Linked DNA regions of Callithrix jacchus. The protein of the gene in region 4 interacts with the protein of the main gene of each other region in a biochemical or structural test. Links are inferred from orthologs where the notes say so. Each region holds a gene or a part of one and is shown on either strand. Other genes may lie near its edges. The genes, in order: PDHA1, AKT1, RPS6KB1 and PDK1.

Evidence for each region.
Region 1: the proteins of PDK1 (region 4) and PDHA1 form a complex in vitro, tested with the Homo sapiens proteins (2 studies listed by BioGRID, with this or other methods). The link is inferred for Callithrix jacchus from reciprocal best matches to the Homo sapiens genes PDK1 and PDHA1.
Region 2: of the proteins of PDK1 (region 4) and AKT1, one has a biochemical effect on the other in vitro, tested with the Homo sapiens proteins (3 studies listed by BioGRID and IntAct, with this or other methods). The link is inferred for Callithrix jacchus from reciprocal best matches to the Homo sapiens genes PDK1 and AKT1.
Region 3: the proteins of PDK1 (region 4) and RPS6KB1 form a complex in vitro, tested with the Homo sapiens proteins (2 studies listed by BioGRID and IntAct, with this or other methods). The link is inferred for Callithrix jacchus from reciprocal best matches to the Homo sapiens genes PDK1 and RPS6KB1.

The regions. Positions count from the first base shown.
Region 1 is NC_133524.1:19,816,507-19,820,544, forward strand, and holds the start of PDHA1 (pyruvate dehydrogenase E1 component subunit alpha, somatic form, mitochondrial), read left to right. Parts: upstream 1-1,211; 5' UTR 1,212-1,311; coding exon 1,312-1,368; intron 1,369-4,038. UniProt on the Homo sapiens protein: The pyruvate dehydrogenase complex catalyzes the overall conversion of pyruvate to acetyl-CoA and CO(2), and thereby links the glycolytic pathway to the tricarboxylic cycle.
Region 2 is NC_133509.1:139,649,542-139,653,106, forward strand, and holds part of AKT1 (RAC-alpha serine/threonine-protein kinase), read right to left. Parts: intron 3,463-3,565; coding exon 3,318-3,462; intron 1,086-3,317; coding exon 957-1,085; intron 1-956. UniProt on the Homo sapiens protein: AKT1 is one of 3 closely related serine/threonine-protein kinases (AKT1, AKT2 and AKT3) called the AKT kinase, and which regulate many processes including metabolism, proliferation, cell survival, growth and angiogenesis.
Region 3 is NC_133506.1:94,532,554-94,536,118, reverse strand, and holds part of RPS6KB1 (ribosomal protein S6 kinase beta-1), read right to left. Parts: intron 2,550-3,565; coding exon 2,437-2,549; intron 1,395-2,436; coding exon of another isoform or gene 1,379-1,394; exon of another isoform or gene 1,377-1,378; coding exon 1,139-1,376; 3' UTR 1-1,138. UniProt on the Homo sapiens protein: Serine/threonine-protein kinase that acts downstream of mTOR signaling in response to growth factors and nutrients to promote cell proliferation, cell growth and cell cycle progression.
Region 4 is NC_133507.1:56,928,864-56,932,428, reverse strand, and holds part of PDK1 (pyruvate dehydrogenase (acetyl-transferring) kinase isozyme 1, mitochondrial), read left to right. Parts: intron 1-1,393; coding exon 1,394-1,578; intron 1,579-1,865; coding exon 1,866-1,961; intron 1,962-2,683; coding exon 2,684-2,761; intron 2,762-3,565. UniProt on the Homo sapiens protein: Kinase that plays a key role in regulation of glucose and fatty acid metabolism and homeostasis via phosphorylation of the pyruvate dehydrogenase subunits PDHA1 and PDHA2.

The DNA.
Region 1 (4,038 bases), on a different chromosome or scaffold from region 4:
CACACACACACAGGCTCTTCCTCCTGGAATATGACTGACCTGAAAACGTGTGAAGACACATCCCATCTTCTCTGGTTTTACTGTTCATCTAATTTTCTGGTCTCCTCCTGGCAGGAGGACTGTATTTTATCTTGTGGAACTCTGGTCCGTGGAAATTGAGAGGAACTCACATGTGTGTCACTTCTGGGCAGAAGCTTTGAGAGCCGGTTTAAATGATCCCCTTTCCCTTCATCATGAGACAAGCTAAGTTCCAGAGGGTTGCCAAACTATGAGGGACCTGTGTTATGGGCAAGATGGCTTGTGTTACTTCAAATCCTTGAAGTGCCTGAAATTTGGAGGTCAGTTGTTGCCATAACATAACCGAGCCCATTCTAGTTAATCTGTTTTCTTCCTAACTTCTTTAATCGTTCTTCATAAGTCACAGTCTCAGCCCCTGGCCATTCTGACCACTGTCCCGTGGATTCCACTCAGTTTAGTCATTATCCCGCTTGAAATGTGGAGCCTAAATCTAAACCCGGAACCCCAGGTGCAATCCCTCTAGGGCACAATAGAATGGGTTCCTGAGCCCTTTGATCCTCTGAATAGACCCTCTCCTTGCTTTGGTGTTTGTCTGTGTGTGTGCTTTTATCCGTTGAGCCACTCTGTTGACTCGCAGTGAGCCTGTGAACCAATAACTAGAGAAGTTAGTGACCTTTCGACATATATCGGGAAACTGATTTTTTGATCCGCGTTCAAGTAGACAGGGCAGAATTTTCGAACCGCTACGTGATCTTTTAAAGACAAGTTAGTGGTAGACCATTTACAGAAACTAGGTGTTTTGTCTTTTGGCTTCGAGCACGTTGCTAATCTTCTTCATCTCGTGTAGTGAGCAAAGGCTGCGCAGCTGCAGCACCGGTAGGACTAGGCGCTCGGTAGGACGGGGCCTGGACTACCGGGGTCCCCGCCAGTCTGCAGGGCGGAATCTAGGAAACATCCTTTTCCGCGGCGCCCTGGAGGAGGGGCCCCACTTTCCCACGCAGGCGCTCTCAGGCCCCCGCCTCCTCACCCGCCCGCCGCGTGGCGACGGAGAGCCCGCAGCCCTCCGCCTCTGGCGCCGATACCCAATGTGCAGCCGCAGTCCTTTCGCAGGGGCGGGGCACTCCCCGGACGCCGTTCTGGTTGGCCAGCGGCCCGGCGCAGCGCATGACTTCATTACGACTCGGTTACGCCGCGCTCCGATTGAGGCGTGGCATTTGCTGGGGCGCCTGAAGGAGACTTGGGGGCACCCGAGTAGTGCCTCTTGGGCTGTTAGGAGTTGCCACTGTCTGCTTCATGAGGAAGATGCTCGCCGCAGTCTCCCGCGTGTTGTCTGGTGCTTCCCAGAAGCCGGTGAGACCTCCCAGGCGGGCCGGGGTGGGGCGCGAGCGGGGCCGGAGCGGGGGCCGGGCCACCCAGCGCGGGGTGGAAGGCTGTAGGGGAGCCGGGGAGCCTTTACTTTGCCTCCACGCCCTGCATTCCGTTCCTGGCCCCAGGGGAAGCGGCGCGGACAGGGATCCCGCCAAGGTCCGTGTGGACTTCCCCCTTCCGACTCCCCCCTTCCGCTCCCGGACCCAGCTGTGCGCCGGGCGAAGTCGGTGTGCTGTGTGCTGAAGAGGTGCCTTTTGGTTGACAGGACACGGAAAGAGGGGCCTCGGCCTCCTTCGAGTCTCCAGTTAACCCCAGTCATTTCACATCTTCCTTACTTAATTTCTCTTGACGGAGAGGCTTTGTAATAAATAGCGTACAATCTGGAGACCGGGTGGCTCCGTTCAAACAGCACCCTCACCATTGACCAGCCCTGTGACCTTGAGCAAGTTTTTAAAGGTCCCGGGGATCCTGTTTCCTAAAATGTTTGCTCTAGGTGGAGTTAATCTCTAAGTGGAGATAAGAGTCGTCTTTGAAATGTTATCAGTTAACTCTAAAATGGAGAGATAATAGAGTCCCCACCTCTTGGGGTTGTCTTGAGGATTCAACGAGTGACACGTGCGGAAACGGTTCCAACTAGCACCTGGCACATAGTCGATAGCAGGTGTGTTGAATGGTGTTATTTATTGAGTGCCCAGTTCGGTATACATGTCTTGAACACCTGTGCTCAGTTGGGAGGCGGGTTCACAGAGAGTCAGCCTCTTCGGAAACAAACTTCCTCCCCTTCTCTCTCAACATCTCAGCTTTTCTTGGCAGTGAGTTCAAGAGCGCTGAACCGGAACTCAGAGGACACTGCCCTCCCCTCACCTGCAAAGTCTTGGGGTACAAGTAGCTAAAGCAAACAGCAACGATGCTTGAGGGGTGGGGGTTACAGTTAGGGATATTTCATGGCTTAAGCATTTAGAGGTGCCTAACACCTAAGCTTCTAGCATTCTGACCCGTAGGCACAGTGAGGTCGTGTTAATCGGTGTAACTGCAGCACTCTTGATTCTGGCCCTGGTAATTCCCCCCAGGACTTGATGTCTATGACATGGCCATGTGTGGCTCATGCCTGTAATCCCAGCACTTCGGGAGGCCGAGGTGGGCGGATCACCTGAGGTCAGGAGTTCGGGACCAGCCTGGCCAAGGTGATGAAACCCTGTCTCTACTAAAAATACAAAAATTAGCTGGGCGTGATGGCAGGCCCTGGTAATCCCAGCTACTCTGGAGGCTGAGGCAGGAGAATCGTTTGAACCCGGGAGGCAGAGACTGCAGTGATCTGATATCAGGCCATTGCACTCCAGCCTGGGCAACAGGAGCAAGACTCTTTCTTTAGAAAAAAAAAAAAAAAAAAGGTTGGGGAGGATGTCATTCCCTTTAGGGGTATCTGTGAGTAGAGGGCTGTGCTGGTAGGCAGGGGCTCAGAAGCACCCTTCCCTTAGGCACCTGATGTAGGTTGTTTCTTCTGCAAGTCAGGTTTTCTGTATCAATCTGCAGGATTCTTCCCCCTCCTCCACCTTACAGAAGGAATAAAATAGAGTTCCAGATATGAAGTCACTTGAGAAAGTGCCCAGGTATCTTTCCACTTGGTGGTGTAAACTCTTCAGATAATTAGAAGTTTTCTGTGTCACTGTACTTGTCATGGTCTAATTAATTAGGAACCATTCCCGAAGCTTCTAAGGGTAGTACTAAGTTTCACCTGGATCTTTTTAAAGGGTGGAATAATAAACTCTAACCTGTTGACTCTTTGTATTTTGTAATTCTTCATACATGTGGATGTCTTTTTACTTAACTATAACACAAAATAGATCAAGGTTTTAATTTTCTATACTTTATAAGACATTTTGCATATAAGCCTTTGCCCAAAGTCCAGACAGTACACGATGAGCAGTGGCTCACCCAAATTAGGCAGACTTACTGGAGTCCTGCCATCTGTGTGATACTCCGTGAAGGGACGGACCAGAGAAGGGGAGGCAGCTGGTCTGATGGCTGTGACACAAGTTACAGCCTTAACCTCCCAAGACACCGTGTGTTTTTTCCTTTTTTGTTTTTTATTCTCCCTGGTGTCTGTTTTGTTTGAGACAGGTCTCCGTCACTCAGGCTAGAGTGCAGTGGCTTGATGACAGCTCACTACAGCCTCAGCCTGCTAGGCTCAAGTGATCCTCCTACCTTAGCCTCCCGAGTAGTTGGGAACACAGGCATGCACCACCACGCCTAGCCATTTAAAAAAAAAAAAATTTTTAATAGAGCCATGGTCTCGCTCTGTTGTCCAGTCTGGTGTCCAACTCCAGGCTCAAGCAGTCCTCCCACTTCGGCCTCCCAAAGTGCTGGGATTACTCTCACTCTCTAAAAGGCAGGCAGGGAGATTTATCTCAGGCTTAAAGATTGCCATTGTCTCATCAAAGAGTGTCTGGTGTGAAACTTTGAAATGAATTACAAGATTGTGTTTTCATTTTTGAATAAGGTTTATCATTTTCAAAATTCTTATTTTGTGGATGAAGACAGAATTGCATTTTAAAATGTTGTTCTTTTATTGTTTGCATTTCTGTATGACACCTTTTGTGAAATCTTTACTATCAGTGTTCTTTTGACTTTATAAGTGGTAGGTAAGAGTTC
Region 2 (3,565 bases), on a different chromosome or scaffold from region 4:
CAGCCAGCCTCAGCCTTGGGACTCACCCAGAGACCCCCACTCAGCCAGCCTCAGCCTTGGGACTCACCCAGAGACCCCCACTCAGCCAGCCTCAGCCTTGGGACTCACCCAGAGACCCCCACTCAGCCAGCCTCAGCCTTGGGACTCACCCAGAGACCCCCACTCAGCCAGCCTCAGCCTTGGGACTTGACCCAGAGACCCCCACTCAGCCAGCCTCAGCCTTGGGACTCACCCAGAGACCCCCACTCAGCCAGCCTCACCCTTGGGACTTGACCCAGAGACCCCCACTCAGCCAGCCTCAGCCTTGGGACTCACCCAGAGACCCCCACTCAGCCAGCCTCAGCCTTGGGACTTGACCCAGAGACCCCCACTCAGCCAGCCTCAGCCTTGGGACTCACCCAGAGACCCCCACTCAGCCAGCCTCAGCCTTGGGACTCACCCAGAGACCCCCACTCAGCCAGCCTCAGCCTTGGGACTCACCCAGAGACCCCCACTCAGCCAGCCTCAGCCTTGGGACTTGACCCAGAGACCCCCACTCAGCCAGCCTCAGCCTTGGGACTCACCCAGAGACCCCCACTCAGCCAGCCTCAGCCTTGGGACTCACCCAGAGACCCCCACTCAGCCAGCCTCAGCCTTGGGACTTGACCCAGAGACCCCACTCAGCCAGCCTCAGCCTTGGGACTTGACCCAGAGACCCCCACTCAGCCAGCCTCAGCCTTGGGACTCACCCAGAGACCCCCACTCAGCCAGCCTCAGCCTTGGGACTCACCCAGAGACCCCCACTCAGCCAGCCTCAGCCTTGGGACTTGACCCAGAGACCCCCACTCAGCCGGTGCACGTTCCTCATTGGCCCAGGACACGGAGGCTGCAGGGCACCCCACTGTGGGGCCTGGTGGGTATAAAGGGCTCCAGCCAACTCCCAAATCCAAACCCCGAGAGGCCAGGGGGACACTCACGTGCCACAGAGAAGTTGTTGAGGGGGGCCTCGCGTTGGTCCACGTCCTGCGGCCGCTCTTTGTAGCCAATGAAGGTGCCGTCATTCTTGAGGAGGAAGTACCGTGGCCGCCAAGTCTTGATGTACTCCCCTGCAGGGGGCAGGCGGTGAGGGCTACACACACTGCCCATCAGACCCCCGCTGCGCAGCCAGGCAGCAACCCGGTGTGCCAGGACACACATGCCTGAGACGCCTGAGTCCCCGGGAGAAGGCAAGGGGTGGGGTGTGTTCCTTAGGGCCAGCGACAGAAACGGCCCTGGGTCAACAGGAAGGCAGACTCGCCCCACCACAGCACCCTCTTGGAAGAGCCACCCCTAGCTGTGTCTGAAAACGGGCTGGGCCAGCTGGACTCAGGGGATGGAGAGCCATTGACAGGAGGCTGGAGGAGGTCTGAGCCAATCCACATGGCCTTCCTGGAGGAGGAGGCACCAGCTATGGCTGCAGGGGCTGCAGGGATGAGAGCATTCCCCAATCAACCAGCGTTGGCCAGGTGGCAACTGCAGGTGACAATGGCACGTGTGGGCTGCCCAGCACAGCTGTTGTCCCCTGCCCACCAAGAGGATGGAGCACGGCATCCGAAGTGAGAGGTCAGCACCACTGAGACTGAGGGCCGGGATCCTGGTTCAGCACCAGTGAGACTGAGGGCCGGGATCCTGGTTCAGCACCACTGAGACTGAGGGCCGGGATCCTGGTTCAGCACCAGTGAGACCGAGGGCCGGGATCCTGGTTCAGCACCATTGAGACTGAGGGCCGGGATCCTGGTTCAGCACCACTGAGACTGAGGGCCGGGATCCTGGTTCAGCACCATTGAGACTGAGGGCCGGGATCCTGGTTCAGCACCATTGAGACTGAGGGCCGGGATCCTGGTTCAGCACCATTGAGACCGAGGGCCGGGATCCTGGTTCAGCAGCACTGAGACCGAGGGCCGGGATCCTGGTTCAGCACCAGTGAGACCGAGGGCCGGGATCCTGGTTCAGCACCACTGAGACCGAGGGCCGGGATCCTGGTTCAGCACCACTGAGACCGAGGGCCGGGATCCTGGTTCAGCACCAGTGAGACCGAGGGCCGGGATCCTGGTTCAGCACCACTGAGACCGAGGGCCGGGATCCTGGTTCAGCACCAGTGAGACCGAGGGCCGGGATCCTGGTTCAGCACCAGTGAGACCGAGGGCCGGGATCCTGGTTCAGCACCAGTGAGACCGAGGGCCGGGATCCTGGTTCAGCACCACTGAGACCGAGGGCCGGGATCCTGGTTCAGCACCACTGAGACCGAGGGCCAGGATCCTGGGACAGGAGCGGCCACTGCTCTGGCAGAGCACTCCCTGTCTTAGGGGCCTGGAGCACCATCCTGGGCACTGCCAGGGAAGCCAGACCCAGAGGTGGCCCAGCCAGCTGGGCAGGGGCCCCGGGCACAGAGGGTGTTCAGGCTGCGTCCCACCCGTGGGTCACTCAGGTGCACGGAACGTTTTCCCTCCAGTTTTGCCGCATCAGCCATACGCACTTCAGAATCGGAGCAGCTGCCCCAGTGACAGCCCAGCAACGACCATTTTTCATACTGACACTCGGAAAAAAATGTTCCACTTACATTTTGCCAAGCAAGGAATTTGAACAACGGGGAACTTACTAATGAGGCAACGGCCTCATCGGAGAGGCCGCTGGGCAGGGTAAAGGGTTGGGGGTCCCTGAGCTCTGGGGCCTGGGTTTTCCTATCAACCTGAGCCCAGACCAGGACACCTGGAGGGATGTGGGGGACAAGCAATTGTCCCATCACCGGACCACCCACCCCCAGCCCTGCTCAGTCCACATGGTGAGTGCAGGCGCGCCCAGTCCTCCCTGGTGCACAGGTCACGTCCCAGCACAGCAGCGGCCCAGGGAACTCAGAGGGCACGGGCCCCGGCATCCCTGCAGCCAGGGCATTCTCCTTCCGGGAAGCCACAGGCAGTTTTCACTGTAAGAGGTGAGCCACCAGGGCTTCGCAAATGGTCACCCCAGGCCAGGTGACCTCTCCCTCCTCCCCAGCCCCGGCTGTCCGATGCCCCTCCTACCAGCACCACAGGGCATGGCCTCCACAGGACCAGCCCTCGCTCCGCCAGATCCAGGGCCACTGGGGGGATGCTGGTGGCGAGGGGGACACCCCACCCAGCAGCTGAGTGTGGGGAGAAGCTGTTGCCAGCTCTGAGGTGGACCCAGGAGGGGATAGTCAGAGCCCATCCATGGCAGCCTGACACCTCCAGAGGATGACACATGCCCAGTCGCAGGGAGAAGGGTCCAGAGCTCAGAATCTGCCCCTATGCCCGGGAGCACTCACCAGGGGGCTCACTCACCCACTCTGCTGAGCCCTCCATGCCCGTCAGGCTGCCGGGCAGATGTGGTCTTGCCACCCTTGGGCACCGGCTCCAGCCCCTGGCCATGAAGACAGTGGTGCTGGCTCCTCCACTTGTGCCGTCCTGTGTCACCCCAGCCCTGGAGCTGGGAGTAGTGGGGCTCTGGGGCACCTGTTGTCGGGGCTGGCCGCCCACTCCCGAGTATACACACACACAAACATACATGCCAGGCAGCTCTACCCCGCCTC
Region 3 (3,565 bases), on a different chromosome or scaffold from region 4:
CTTTTTAAAACTGTTGAGAACAAAAATATAAGGAAGTAGACAGCAGAAATAGTAGAAAGAAGTAAAACTGAAAATCTTACCAATTTGCTGTAAAGAGATTAGACAGAGAGTGGGCCATAGCAACACCCTCTTCCCCTGATATCCCTATCTCCCTCTCTTCTGTTGTTCTTCAGCCATGAGCTGAACACATTTGGCGTCTTGAATCAAATATACTGGTATAAGAACAGGTGGCGATTTTTTTCCAGTGCAATGCAGGCCCAGGACAATGATGAAATGTAGGACATACAACTTATGCCCATTCCAAGGCTTCCAGTTAAGCTTAGCACATAGCAGTACTGCAAGTAGAAATGATTAAATAGATTCTTTTTTTTTTTTTTCTCATATTACAGACAAGTATTGCAGCTGGGTTAATGAAAATAAACCCCATGTCCACCCCAATCCCTCAAACGAGCCACAGCTGTGGTTAACAATGATTCATTTGCATTTTATTATTTCACCAAGAGAAGAAACAAGTTGTCTGGCTTTCTTCACACCAACCAATAATTTCGCATTTTAAAGTTTGGGATGTTTTTCATAATGAGCTGAATCAAAAATCTATTTGAAAAATATATATTTATATAAAAAAAAGATTCAGGTTGTTTGCACGTAAAACATCAATTGGTAAGTTTCTTTTGTCTTTTATTCCATGTTGCTGGAAAAAGTTTGACCAAGCTTGCATGCTAATTTGTCCTTAGTTGCAAGTATTATAGGCAATTTTGTACTTGCCTAATGAAAGGATAACCTTTCTTCGACACAGTCAGAACTCAACAGTGATTCAGAAGCAACATCCTACCCTTAATACTGTCAGTTTCGAGTCATCAACATGAAAATCCTTGATAAGGTTGAGAAGATGTTGCGAGGAATCCATTAACTGATGTGCCTAAGAGTTCGGCAATACTATTTTGCTTTAAGTTTTTTTTTTTGCACCATTGATTGATTTTTTTAAATCCACGTTTATTTTTCCTCTCTCCAAAGTGTTTTATGTAATGACATTGACTCTGTGAAACTGTCATTTTGAGTCTTCTTGTTTCACCTTGCAGGATCCTCACACATCACCCTCCACCTTTTTTGCCTTAAATTCATTAAAAGCATTGCTCTGTCATAGATTCATTCGCAGGTGCTCTGGCCTTTTAGAGATCATGGGAAAAGCTTGTTTTTTGTATGGCCCAGAGTTTGGCTGTCGTATTGGAAGTGGTGCTGATGCTTCCCCACTCATTGTCACATCCATCTGCTCTATGCCACTTGTTTCCATTGGGTATTCCACAGGTGTCTGAGGATTTGCTGTGCTGGCCGAAGCACCTCTTCCCCAGAAATCCCCAGGAGAAAATTTGACTGGGCTTTAAGACAAGGAAGAGCTATCATTCATTTGTTTAAGGATCATCTTAACAAGACAGTATTTCCTTTACATTTAAAGGGAGTGGGAAAATATGACTTTATTTTCATTTAATTTTATTTTCATGTGAATTAGCACAAAGGCAAAAGTTGGGCCATTCTCTCTCCTAGACTGTTAGAATTTCCTAACTGGTCTCTTTACCTCTACAGCTGACCCCCAAAACCCGTGTGTGTGTGTGTGTGTGTGTGTGTGTGTACACATATTATATATATCATTTTACTCTCCCCTGCTCAAAACAGCTTTCTATTGCATTTAAAATACAATACTTTTCTAAACCTCTGCTATTCTCTTCCTCACTCACCAGACACTCCAGGAACACTGATTTCCCTTTCATTTCCAGGAAAAGGGCAAGTTTTCTCCTCCCTCAGGGCTTTTGCATTTGCTGTTCTTCTGCTTGTAGGGCTGTCTCTTTCTGTTCACTTCTAGATGTTACTACTCTAGGGAGGCCTTTCTCTAACCACTGAGAGTAGAAACCTCCTTGTTTTCCTCTGCTGTCTACCACATCCTTTTTTCCCCTTTTAAATTATAGCACTTAGCACTACTTGTAATTACATATTTTTGTGATCCTTTGTCTATTGTGTGTATTTTGTGTATCCTTTATTATTGTATCCTACATCACTCCCACTAAATTGTAAGCTTCATCAGGCCAGGGACAATTCCTATATTATGGTAATATATATATATATATATATATATATACACACACACACACACACACACATAACATGCAGTATGTAGCACAGCTCTTGGTGCACAATAAATGCTGAGTGAATGGATAAAGAGGACATTTGCCAGTGTGGCTGTTTACTTTCAGAAGGGAAGGTAAACGATATAACATCATAGATAGTCAGACTAGTCCTTTGCAATGTAAGATATCGATGCTGTGCTTATGTCAAAGAGAATATGACAGTCATTTATGTAACTTGGCATAAATTTATTAAGCAACACTCTTGTAAGTTGTTAAAAAGAAAAAATAAAGAAGTGAAAATAAGAGTGTGAAATACCTGACAGGTGTTCGTGGGCTGCCAATAAATCTTCGAGGTGATCGGATTTTTGGTTCAAAGGAAAACTTTTCTTTCACACTTTCAAGTACAGATGGAGCCACATATGTAAAACCCTGAAAGAAACAGTGGACTATAGAATGGTATTTTGTCATGTATCTCAAAAAAATGGGGTTGTTCAGTCTGACATACCAACACAATGATGCACACCTAAAACCACCAATGTGTATACTCTCCCATCTCCTCAACCTCATTTTTAGACCTGTTAACCTCCTTCCAGCCATTTTGTGAGGCACGCATTTCAAGAAAGCAGAATGCTATTGAGCCCAAGATGCTGGCAAACAAAATTCCATCCTATTGACAGGAATAGGAAAAAAAAAAAAAAGAAAAATTCAGGCTCCATATGAAGATGTTAAATATGGCCAGGGATGGTGGCTCACACCTGTAATCCCAGCACTTTGGGAGACTGAAGCAGGCACATCACCTGAGGTCAGGAGTTCGAGACCATCCTGACCAATGTGGTAAAACCCTGTCTCTACTAAAAATACAAAAATTAGCCATGCATGGTGGTACACGCCTGTGGTCCCAGCTACTCAGGAGGCTGAGGCAGAAGAATCGCTTGAACCCAGGAGGCGGAGGTTGCAGTGAGCCGAGATTGCGCCACTGCACTCCAGCCTGGTGAAAGAGCAAGACTCCGTCTCAAAAAAGAAAAAAAAGTTAAATATTAGGAGAAATGCAAAGAAACTTCTAGTCTTTCCAGCCACAGGCATATAAGCAACTAAGATTATCACCCCAAAACAGATTCTCATAATTAGGCCAAGTAAAAACAATTTTCTGACTTGGCATCAAAATCTAATCTTATGACCTTTCTGGTTTTATGCCAATGGTTGGACAGATTTTTTTTTTTTTTTTTTTTAAAGAGATGGGGTATCCCTATATTGCCCAGGCTGTAGTGCAGTGGTGATATCATAGCTCACTGCAGCCTCAAACTCCTGGACCCAAGCTTTTCTCCCACCTCAGCCCCGCAAGTAGCTGAGACTATAGGCACATGTGATCATTGCCCAGCTAGAATTTGGTATTTTTTTGATGAGTAAGTATCAACATTACAAAAACATTCAGTTGTAATAGGCAA
Region 4 (3,565 bases):
TAAGATGATGTAAGTAATATGACAGGTTTAATAACCCCTGTACTGGAATTGGTAAACCAAAGTATTTGTCTTATGCAGCTACCTGCTTATTGCAATGAAGGGTACTGACTTTGTAATGACCACTTCTTGTCCTCAGTTAGTTACCCATATTTTTTGGACTGTCTTTAAAGGGTACAGTAACACTTCATTTTTTTAACATTTTAATCTGAAAATAACATTTAGCAAGAGTTTACTCCTTGCCTAGATATTGAGCAAACCTCACATGAATGTTTTTTAATCTTTAAAACAGTTCATTGAAATAATGCTATTTGTGCACAAAGAGGGTAAAGTAGCTTAAGGTTACGTGGTTAGCAAATGGTAGAATCCAAGCAGTCTTAATTTAAAAGTAAACATTATGCTATAGAGCCTTCTGAAAACATTCATTCGGAGTTGTAGAAAATAAATTGAGTAGTCAAGCAGAATAACACAGATTTGTGTTTCTTTTAAGAAAAAAGAAAATAAATCAATAAAAAGTGACTAGACTGAGGAGTTGTTGTTTTCGAAGAGTTTTGTTGTTTGTATTTTGTTTTAACAGTCTTGTTTTGAATCTCATTACAAACTAGGAATTCCAAATATCTTTTAAGCAGTAGAAACATTGGAATAAGTTAATAATACTCAGGATGATAACTTTGAATAAGAAAGCATTCATTTAGAAGTGTACATTCAGATTGTTATGTTAGAAAATTGGTTTTGTTACTGCTAATTAAGGCTTTTTTTCTCTTTTATTTATTTCTTTAACCATGTAATGTCTTCTAAGTGACAGAAGTGGGAAGGCTAGATGATTTGAAGATTTGTCTTTTAATATAATTGTTTACTTTTCCTCTCCCCTTTTATAAACTCATAAGATGAATGAAATGAGAATTCTTTTTTGTTTTTCTGTCCTAAGTGTTTCTTCTCTCTTTGAACCCTAGGGAAGAGTTCCAAAACAGGCAGGCTTTATTGGCTCATTCATCTGGATTCCTTACAGAGCATGTGTCCTAGAGTGCTTTGTCTTCTATGCAGAATGTCTCTGGAATACCATACTCATAGCCAGTGCTCAGATGACCTTAGTTGATAACAGTTAAAGAAAACCATTAACATTTTTAGGATTATGTTTTGTGGCAGCCTTACTCTTAGGAATCCAAGAAAATAATTAAATTTTGAAAGTTTTATTTTGGAGGCACTTATACTTGAATGGATTTGGTATATTTTATGATCTGAAATACATGTAAATAAGTATAGGAAAACATGAACCGATTTTTCTTTTACTAAGTTAGGGATTTTTTTTTGTCTAGTATAGCTTGTTAAACTTAAATTTTTGTATTAAACTTACTTGTCAAAATATTTGGCTGTTTTGACAGATGGGTTTGTTTAGCTTTACAGATACTGTGATACGGATCAGAAACCGACACAATGATGTCATTCCCACAATGGCCCAGGGTGTGATTGAATACAAGGAGAGCTTTGGGGTGGATCCTGTCACCAGCCAGAATGTTCAGTACTTTTTGGATCGATTCTACATGAGTCGCATTTCAATTAGAATGTTACTCAATCAGCACTGTAAGTGGCCTCAGTCAAGAGAAGCGGCTAAATAAGATGTGTTGGCATATTTTAAATTTATTTAGAAAACTTCCTTTTAGGTAGAAAATTTAGTTTTACTTTTTTGCTAATTAGGAAAAGTAAATAGACTGCCATCAAGAAAGGTATTTTTATTTAATGTAAAATACTATGTTTATCCTAAAAGAAAATATTTGTTCTACTGTTTGGTACAATTGAAACAGTATTCACATTTGGAAAAGAGCATTAAGTAGTTTAGCTTATTTTGTTTGTTTTTTATTTTTGGATAGCTTTATTGTTTGGTGGAAAAGGCAAAGGAAGTCCATCTCATCGAAAACACATTGGAAGCATAAATCCAAACTGCAATGTAGTTGAAGTTATTAAAGGTAAATCCTAACATTTCTCCTTGCAAAAAAGATACAAAAATCAAAATTATTGATTGTTATTTCTTACTATTAAAGCAGCTGTTTGCATCATGAGATAAAATGGCAGGCACACATGTGTGGGTTTGAAAATAACTTTATAGTATTATTTGTGCATTGTATATAGGATGACTATTTTATTCATATAATTATTTGTTAGGCAAAGTTTGATAAACCTTTTTGTTGTTGTTGTTGTTGTTGTTGTTGAGACAGGGTCTCACTCTGTTGCCCAGGCTGGAGTGCAGTGGTGCTGTCTCAGCTCACTGCATCCTCTGCCTCTTGAGTTCAAGCAATTCACCTGCCTCAGTCTCCCCAGTAGCTGGGATTACAGGCGCCCAATACTATGCCTGGCTAATTTTTGTATCTTTAGTGCAGACGGACTTTCACTTTGGCCAGGCTGGTCTAGAACTCCTGTCTGCCTCAGCCTCCCAAAGTGCTGGGATTACAGGCATGAGCCACTGAGCCCTGCTGAGGGTATCTTTCACTTAAAAAACAAAAAAGACCTGAGCAACGTAGTGAGACTATGGCTCTACCAAAAAAAAAACAAAGACTTACCCCAAACTATCAAAGTATATTTTCTTTTATAGAAAGTTTAAGATTTTCACTTGTCAATACTATTGCCATCTTAATGCATGAAACAGAAGTGTATATATTAAATCTTTTCTTTTTGTTTTTATTTGCACCAGATGGCTATGAAAATGCTAGGCGTCTGTGTGATTTGTATTATATTAACTCTCCCGAACTAGAACTTGGAGAACTAAATGGTAAGCCTGATGTTTTGTTTTCCTCAATAATTAGTGCTTTGATTACTTGGTAAGGGATAAGAATTTAAATGTTTTAATGGAAGATGACTTTTTCCTCAACTGCATTGTATATAAAGGCTAAAGGAAAGTAATCATGTGAAAAGTGTATATACAAATATATATATGTAATTTAGTCAGATTGTCAAAAATATTGGCTTTTTGTGCCTCATTGTCTTTATTTTTAATTGATAACTTTGATTCTTTGCTTATTTTTTATTTTCTGTTTAGTCATAGAAAAAAAATGATGCCAAGAAAGTTACATTTGACTTTTACATGCACTTCAGTAATGTAAGACTTACCCTTTTTCTACGTCATGAGTTGTAAATACTTTTCTCTTGTTGAGGGCATAGAAAGCCTAGGGTTTTAAAAGAGGAAAGAAAGATGCTGATCTATTTGAGAGTCTGTTAGTCTCTGATGGTTTTCATTTTAACTTGATTAGTGCTTTTTGGACAAAAGGGTTGAGATGCCTTGCAAGGGGATTGATGAGTCTCTTTCCTGAGGCATGGTAGTTTGACAGAGAAAAACATTTCCTACGATGACACTTTAAGAAGGTGTGGTAGGAAGAATAAAATGAAATAGGCTTTTACTAAGCTGTATCCTGGACCTTAGAGTGAGAGAGCAGTGAAGTTATACAATTGAAAATAGAATTGCTTGGTGGTTTTCTAAAGCCATATTAACTCTTCAGTTCTGTAATGGTAGCATAGCATTTGATAAATAACAATCACAATGTACAAGTGACAGTTTGTGAACCTGAACTACTGTGAG